Linked DNA regions of Tribolium castaneum. Each later gene encodes a partner of the first gene's protein in a complex. Links are inferred from orthologs where the notes say so. Each region holds a gene or a part of one and is shown in the gene's direction. Other genes may lie near its edges. The genes, in order: Bulli and Mon1.

Region 1 (4,441 bases):
ATCGATGTCACTGGTGGCCATAGGCCCCATAAACATGTTCACCCAGTTTTTGTTGCAACACTGTAACGCGATATTTATGATTTAAAATGCTTTAAGGAGTCGATTCTGTGATTGTTATTGCATTTTTTTCAGTACAAAATTCGTTTTACATTCTAGATCGCGACCACTTACGACAGGGTTTCTGTGTCAAGATTAATTTGAGCCATAATCGTGTTTTACTTAAATTGTTATCATCTCATATTAATTAATAATGTTGATCATAAAATAGTTTGCCTGGATATATCATGTTAGACGAAAGATGTAAGAGATTTAAAGTACCAGTTTGTGTTGCTTATTACGACAAACATAAGACTTATAGAAGTAGTTATGTAACTGTAAGAGCAGTAACAAATGTAGTAATTTTGTAAATTATATATACCGGTGCATATCCTTTATTGAGGAAGAGTTAAATATTTTGTACACTTGTATTTGTTGAGAATTAAGTTGCTTTAAAGGGTATGTGCCTGATTTTGTATATTGAACGAAAAAATAGTCAAAATGCCAAAGAACTGTTCCAACCCCTGGGTTCTAAATTAGATTCTACATTTGTTAGTTTCAATTTCTTTATTTAGAAAGGTATCAATAGTTTACAGGTCCAATGTAGAACACTTCAAATGGTTTCTACCTCTTGTATTTATTAACCCACTAACCATTCCATCAGAATTTATTTTATTTTTTATATTATAATGTGTCTTATAACCCTACCAATAAAGTATGATATAAAATGTCTCATAATTTGCTTTTTTCTAATTTCTCCAGGATTTGATCCACCTACAAAATTACACAATTAAAGATAAATAAATGAGTGATTAAATAACGTACAGAAGTAAACCACCAACTATTGGGCTTGAACACAAAACTGCTTATGAAAGACATTTCCGAAACTGGTGATATTATGTGTAAATGCAAATGCGATACTGAATTAAACGGTGGTAAATGAAAACCTAGTCTTGTATCATCTAGATTACCTCCTTTGTCAGCTAAAACCTGTTTACTTTTGGCTATTAAATCATTAACTGAAAAAAAAATAGTACATAAAAAATAATCTCTAATTTAGCCAATTACTTAATGGAATTTGATTTTTGGAGAGACTATTTACATTAGGGATGTGTTCTTTTGGCACAGCTAAAAAATGGTGCTTGGAGGCCGGTTTAATATCCTTGAAAATAATCATTTTGTCATCCTGATGGAAGATTTCAGCAGGGGCATCACCTGAGATAATTTTGCAAAAAATACAGTTTGACATCTGCAAATTACATAACTTATCAATGGTCCAGCACTAAGTGGATAAATTCGAACTTGCCTTTGTAATACTTCTAAAAGTTTTCGCTCCACGGAACGAATTTGTAAAAATCCTGCTGACAGGTGATTTATTGACAATTGTTATGACAGCTGTCATTTTAACGTCAATGTGACAGTTGAGGTTAGAATTGAAAATGTCAAGTGATTTTTATTTGGAATTGTCTGAGAACCCGGTCCGTTTTGAGGCCGTCAACCAGCTCACAAATGTCTTCTTCGACGACTCGAACAAACACGTAACTATCCCGAGATAGATTCTTGTATTTTTGGTGACAGCCCCCTTGAAGGTGTTCGCGGTGCGCTCGGGTGGCGTTATGGGAGTGGTGGTCAAAGGCCCAACAGAGTCCGACAAACCGCTCAATTTTCGAATGGAAGACCACGGCCCCGTCCTATCAATAAAATTCTCCCTTGATCAGAAGGTTCTGGCAGTTCAGCGCTCAAACACGTCGGTTGAGTTTATGAATTTTAACGGAGCGACACTCGATTCAGAGTACTCCCAAAGCTGCAAGAAGAATTCGAACATTTTGGGGTTCGTTTGGTCGCAAAATAATGAAGTTGCGTTCATGACCGACCACGGAATTGAACTCTACATGATCATCCCGGAAAAAAAGTCACTCAAATACCTTAAAACCACCTCGGCGACTGTTCAGTGGTTCGTCTGGTGCTCCTTAAACAAAATCGCGCTTCTGGCATCGGCTCATGGGTCGCAGCTGCAGCCTGTGCTTTTTAAACCGGGGTCAATAAGCAAACTGCCTAAAGTTGAAAGTAAGTTTTTACGCTTGCGCGAGAGACTTATCTTGGGGTCACGATAATTTTTTTTTCAAATGTTTTGTTTTAAGCCGAACCTGGCCGTATGGCTTTAGAACGAGACGTAACTTTGTCCACTCTGTACGACATTCCCGCTGTTTTAATTCTGAGACATCAGAGTGGCCCCCAGAGTGCTGAGGTCCATGTACACACCTTAAGTGGCCCGGGACAAGCCGCCGTTAAAACACATGTCTTGAAATTGGGGCTTTCTGGGAGATTTGCGATTAATATCGTTGATGATTTGATTCTGGTCCATCATCAGGTAAATACAGTAAAACTCTGCTTATCCGCACCAATTCTGATTTTTTTTCTTATTTTTATATTTGTTGTTTTTCATTATTTTAAACTTTAATGCTCTTCATCATTTTTTGTTAATTGGTTATTAATTAATAATACAATATGCAATAATTAATCAGGTGAGTTTAATAGTAATGCATGCAAATATTTTTATATGGGTTATTAAAAAAAATACAATCACCCCTTATAAAATAGGTCGAAAACAAAAGGATAAGCATTTTGTCTGTAATAATTATCAATAGCTTTTTTACATTATATTTTATTTTTTTTATATTTACCTACCAGAAAGCTAAAGGACTATTCTGTGTGGTAGTTCGTGCAAGAACAAAGGTCCTTGCAGCCTGTTCGGTGCCACATTAGAAGTATCTAAGTCATAATCCGTTGAGTTCTGCTCAATGGAAATATTTTCAAGATGGCAGCACTTCCGGTTATACCGGAAGTCGCTCTCAACTTTTTTATTTTAAATGAAACGCTGTTTTTCACTGCAGTTGAATTATTTAAAGGGAATTTTTACTGTTTTTCCCTATACTTAATTTTACCGTTTTCGAAATATTTAAGATTTTTTGAAAATTTTTGGATTTGCACCACTCACTTAAAAAATTGGTAACTCTCTTAGTTTCAGAGATTTCGAAATCATATTTGGAGAATTAAAAGAGAAGGCCCATATCCAGTGTGTCCAAAATTGCGAAAGAAGTTAATAAACTGTAAAATTTTATGGTTAAGTTTTGACAATTTCAAATACCCACAACTTAATTTTTTCAAATAAAATGTCCCAATTTTTATTTTAGTAACAAAATTTCTGTACACTGTAAACAAAAATGTCGGTTGCCGTTTAAAAAAATAACAAAATGACGTCTTAACTCAAAAACCAATGACGTTACAGATGTTACAAAGATGTCAAAATGTATTTTTTAAATACAAAAATAACGACTTGTTCAAAGATTTTTGTGCAAAGTGACCTACTACAAAAATATGAATTTTATACGTTGCTTTAATTTCCCTATAATTATTACACAATAAGAATTAAGATAAGCATTTTTTCTGCACTATAATTATTCATCTTAATAAGTTAATTAACATGACTTAATTGAGTCAAATGACCGACTTTTTACTCGTCAGTATTTTCGTATTGCACTACGTATTTTGGTTTAGGGTTTGTCAAATTGTCACCCAACTCTTGCTTAAGGAATAAATAAATTTCATTTTATTTTTCATTTTTGAAATTGATTAATTTCAAATTTGAAAATGCAATTTGGGGAAAAGATCCATCAGTATCAATGCATTTTTTTTAATTAAGTTTAATTTAAACTCTCTTCTGGAAAGTAATGTTAAATGTTACAAGCTTTTCATTAATTACAATAATTAATAACCTTAGGTAGAACTGATGGGGTGGTGAGTTGGTGCCGTACTCTCTAATTTATTTGTTCCTTATAATCGGTAGCATCAAAATTAATCGTTGTAAATTCTTGAACATTTTTAGTATGTGTATGTTCGGGCCAATAAGTAATAACTACTAATAACCCTGCTATTACGTGTGTAAGTTACGCAAAAAGATGATTTTGGTATAAGATGAGGAATAACGAGCAGTAAAATTGTTGACTACAGATTACTTTCATCTTAGTAAATTCAACCAATTATGCATTTAGTAAAAACCATAGGTATGAAAACAATATAGAGGGCAGAATATGTCATCCATTTTTTTATTGCTTTTGCATAGAGAATTAATTTAAAACAAATCATTATCTTCTTATTTTAAAATTAAAATTATAATTTCGTTAAAAAGAAAAAATATCAAATTATTCTTTACCTACTTTATGCGATAAAGTTCATTTTTGCTAAATTAAGGCGGTTCAAAGAACCCTTAATTGCAATCAAATTTTAATTCGCAACTAATTTGACTTTTGTTAGAGTAAATGATAAATGGATTAATGTAATGTTGAATTAGATTTTAATTCGTTTTCTGTAAACCCACTGTAATTCACAAATTTAATATCATTCA
Region 2 (3,905 bases), on another chromosome or scaffold:
TTCCTATCATAAATACTTAATTTCTTAACTATTAATGTAAAATTTTGAAAGAAATATTAAAAAAAACACATGAGTATAGAACAAAATGAAGCATTCAACAGCAAATGCTTTTGTATTCACAAAAACTTAACGTAGCAATTTTTATTATCATACCTTATTTATTAAATATTGCCCTCTGACACCTTTATGTTTTAAAGAAGGGTCTTTCATAACAGTCATAAATCCAGGGTCAGCCACTCCGTCGCATATTTTGATGAATCTATCTCTGTATTAAAAATAATAATAAAATATTTAAAGAAAATTAAAGGAAACATTACTGAATTTCATCCAATAAGGCATGACTAACATTGTTCTTTATCACAATATATCCATTATCTTCATAAAATTGGCGTTGTTCGTATGTTAGAACACCACCGTCTTGAGTATACCTAAATCTAAAAATTGTACTTATTAATATGCACTTAATTTTTTGTTTAACTAAATTACCTTCCCATTTTGTTCGGTAACGCAGACAATTCTCTTAAGAAACTTGTCCGAATAATACACTAAAACATAAAATTATCTTGTTTATTAAATACACTTGAATTATGTTGCGTCATTGAAGCATTTATTTATAACAATACAAAAAACATGTACTTAATGATTTCAGTGTCAGTAGTAAGTAATAACAACACATTATCGAACAGATACTCAATAATAAACAATTACTTTGAATTTACTTGTACTGTTTTTAATCAAATGTCAAGCATCCCACCGTTTAAATAAATAAATCAATGATACGAGAACAGTAAGAGCCGGTTTACAGAAAATTTTAATTGCAATTAAATTTTAATCGCGATTAACTTGACATTTGTCAATGCATTTTAAATGGCAACTTAATTCGAATTAGTTTAATTTCGAATTAAATCTTAATTTCGCTTTCTGTAAACCGATCCTTAAACTTATAATTAAACATACTGTCTATTTTTTTCTCGATTTTGTTACTTAAGTACCTACTACTTAAGCCGTAGATATACATATCGCTCAAATTGTAACACACTATAATAATTATTTGTGCGTAAAAAGGAACTAACAAATGCTTTTTCTTATTATCGTTGTTTGTTAGTTGTTAAACACTCACCTCGTTATCACAGCACGCAAAGTACAGTAAATAATAAAAGTCTTGACCTCTGCATACCCAACAGATGATCTAACTAAAATTTCACTATTTATCTAGTTAGAAGGTTGGTAATGCTATATTTTTAAATAAATTAAGTGTATTTCAGTGATGTATTTATTTTCAAGTTTGAAATAACATACTACTACCAAAATCAAAATTAATTTGAAACCAAAATGTAGTGCAATAAAATAAAAAATGACATTCTCTTATTTTTTACACAATAACTACGTATTTAAAAAACTTGGAAAAGCGGAAACTCAATTAATATAATAGTTGCTCTTAACTTGTTTAACCACCTTAAAGCCCTGCCTTAAGAGTTTTAGTTAGAAGTATTAGTTAGAAGGTTGGCACCAAAATTGACAACTGTCAAAAAAATGTCAGGTTGAGGTTAGAAATCAATCAATCAAAGAGCAATGCATTGAAATCTCAAAAACCCAACAAAATTCCGACGATTTTTCAAGAATGTTCGTGAATTTCACGTGAACTAAAACCCCCAACAAAAAATGTCCTCGAATCTGGAAGTTGAGCCGGGGGCAGCCTCCGAGAGTGTCCTTGTTACCACCGACTCCTTTGACAATTTTGATCACATGAGCTCGAGCCTCGAAGAAATCAAAAACCTGAATGCACTCGCGGAAAACGACTCAAACGTGGAAAACAGCAACGTCGAGAATTTTGACGAAATCAGCGAGAATCTCTCAATTAACAACGAAGAGGACGATTTCGTCCAGTCAAAGGAGTGGGCTTGTAAGAACAAACATGTCTTTGTCCTCAGCATGGCCGGGAAACCCATCTATTCGAGGTTGTTATCGTTTGCATAATTTTTTTCTTTACAACTTATGTCTCAGATATGGAAACGAGGATAAGCTAGCCTGGTTGTTCGGTGTTATGCAAACACTGGTTAGCTTCGTACAGTCAAATGAGGACACCATTAGGAGCATCCATGCCGGGGACACGAAGTTTGTCTTTTTAATTAAGAAACCGTTAATTTTAGTCGCCGTTTCTCGAACGCAGGAAAGTGTAAATCAGCTGTGTTCACAACTAAAGTGAGGGTTCCCACTTTGTTATTTTTTCTAGTTTTGTTTATTGCAGCTACGTATTTAATCAAATAGCCAGTGTCTTAACCTTGACTAGACTTAATAAAATTTACGAGCAACGCCAGAATTATGACTTAAGACGGCTTCTGGCAGGTGTTGAGAGACTCATTGACCACTTGCTAGATTTCTCAGAGAAGGAGCCTTCGTTCACTTTGGGCGCAGTCCAGTGTCTGTCACTTGCGTCCTCAGTGAGAGACAACATCAGCTCGGCCATTGTCGGAGCTTGCAGCAAAATTAAAGTAAAAAAATTGTTTCAAAAAACATTTTTAAAATATCGTTTCCAGAACCTAGTTTTCGCAATACTTCTCGCAAACAATAAACTTATCACTCTAGTCCGCATGAAAAAATATTGCCTTCACCCGGCCGATCTCCATTTAATATTTAACTTAGTCCAAGCCTCCGAAAGCCTCAAAACGGCTGAAAGTTGGACACCGTTATGTCTTCCACGGTTTGACGCTAGTGGTTTTTTATACGGACATGTGTCCTACTTGGCTGAAGACTGTCAAGCGTGTTTGCTCCTCCTGACGGTGGAAAGGGACGTATTTTTTGCCCTAAGTGAGGCGAAACAACGCATAGTGGAAAAACTGCGACGCAGCAACTGCTTAGAAGCAATCAATGAGTCGCTGAGTGCGAAAGAAGAAACTTGCATTGTTGCGGGTTTCCCCGAACTTAGGCACTATTTGTACAAATGCAAAAGTACAGCACAGTTCTACCAACCAAGCTTGACCCCACCGTACACCAAATATAACGAGAGACTAACAAAGTTGTACAAACGGGCGCATAACTTGTTGCATTGCTCGACGAGGCCGCTAAAGTTGTTATTTGAGAAAAACTCAGACGAGGCGATTTTGGCGTGGGATACGAGAGGTTTTGAGCTTTATGTAGTTTTCGAGCCCTTGATTGACACAAACAGTGCGATTAACTCAGTGGGGCGGCTGCTGAACTGGATTAAGAAAAGGGAGGAGAAGTTGTTTCATCTCAATGCGCCCACTTTTTGAGCCATTTGATTTGTATATATTATAAATATGTAAATTTTGTGGAAATCTAAGGTATAGGCTTAATCTGTGATATTCACAATCCTAAACTTGTTGATGTATTTAATTATTGATTGTATAAAACGATGTATTGAAAAATCAGTGGTGTCTGTCTCGCTCCCGTTTCCTGTCTTTATCCTTACGATCTCGCTCTTTTTCGCGGTCTTTCTCCCGGTCCTTGCGCTCCTTCTCCCTGTCTCTTCTCTCCCTATCGCGCTCCTTCTCCCGGTCGCGGTCCCTCTCCTTGTCCTTCTCCTTCTTGTGGCGTTCCTTACTCCGACTGCGATGCCTTTCTCTGGATCTGCTGCGTTCCCGCTTCCTCTCCCTTTCTTTCTTCTCTTTGGGCTTTTCTTCAACCAACTCGTACTTGTTTTCTTCCTCAAGTTCAATCTCTTCGTCCAAGTCGTCTTCAAGGGCCGAGATCTTGGCTTCGAGTTCGTTGCTTTCTTCCAAAACAATGCGTTTTTGAATGCGTGGCAAAATAACATCACAAACCTTAAAAATTAATTTTACTATCTACCGTAACAAAAAAAACACGTACTCGTTCCTCTCGTAACAATTCGTCAATAAACTCGTCCATGTGTACAATTTCAAACTGCGCTTGGCGATTTTGTCGCC

Evidence for each region.
Region 2: the proteins of Bulli (region 1) and Mon1 are in contact, whole or in part, in a cryo-EM structure (PDB 8JBE), measured with the Drosophila melanogaster proteins. The link is inferred for Tribolium castaneum from reciprocal best matches to the Drosophila melanogaster genes Bulli and Mon1. Residues at the interface, in NP_648047.2 of Drosophila melanogaster: Ile561, Arg565, Lys568, Asp590, Leu592, His595, Ser596, Arg599, Phe600, Met603, Phe631, Pro632; in NP_608868.1 of Drosophila melanogaster: Pro416, Glu417, Arg419, His438, Pro439, Glu445, Arg448, Met473, Lys474, Glu475, Arg476, Glu494, Pro495, Val496.

The regions. Positions count from the first base shown.
Region 1 is NC_087394.1:22,492,017-22,496,457, forward strand, and holds the start of Bulli (regulator of MON1-CCZ1 complex), read left to right. Parts: upstream 1-1,438; 5' UTR 1,439-1,475; coding exon 1,476-1,574; intron 1,575-1,625; coding exon 1,626-2,103; intron 2,104-2,177; coding exon 2,178-2,407; intron 2,408-4,441. Other genes in the region: RhoGAP68F (rho GTPase-activating protein 1), read left to right, coding at 1-85; adenosine 5'-monophosphoramidase HINT3, read right to left, coding at 769-810, 862-1,055, 1,105-1,285, 1,343-1,438. UniProt on the Drosophila melanogaster protein: Positive regulator of the Rab7 guanyl-nucleotide exchange activity of the Mon1-Ccz1 complex, possibly by enhancing its endosomal membrane association.
Region 2 is NC_087396.1:19,985,374-19,989,278, forward strand, and holds Mon1 (vacuolar fusion protein MON1 homolog), read left to right. Parts: upstream 1-1,463; 5' UTR 1,464-1,662; coding exon 1,663-1,958; intron 1,959-2,004; coding exon 2,005-2,202; intron 2,203-2,248; coding exon 2,249-2,492; intron 2,493-2,537; coding exon 2,538-3,251; 3' UTR 3,252-3,386; downstream 3,387-3,905. Other genes in the region: phytanoyl-CoA dioxygenase, peroxisomal, read right to left, coding at 154-265, 318-434, 487-494; Prp38 (pre-mRNA-splicing factor 38), read right to left, coding at 3,387-3,782, 3,829-3,905. UniProt on the Drosophila melanogaster protein: Part of the Mon1-Ccz1 guanyl-nucleotide exchange factor complex specific for Rab7 that promotes the exchange of GDP to GTP, converting Rab7 from an inactive GDP-bound form into an active GTP-bound form.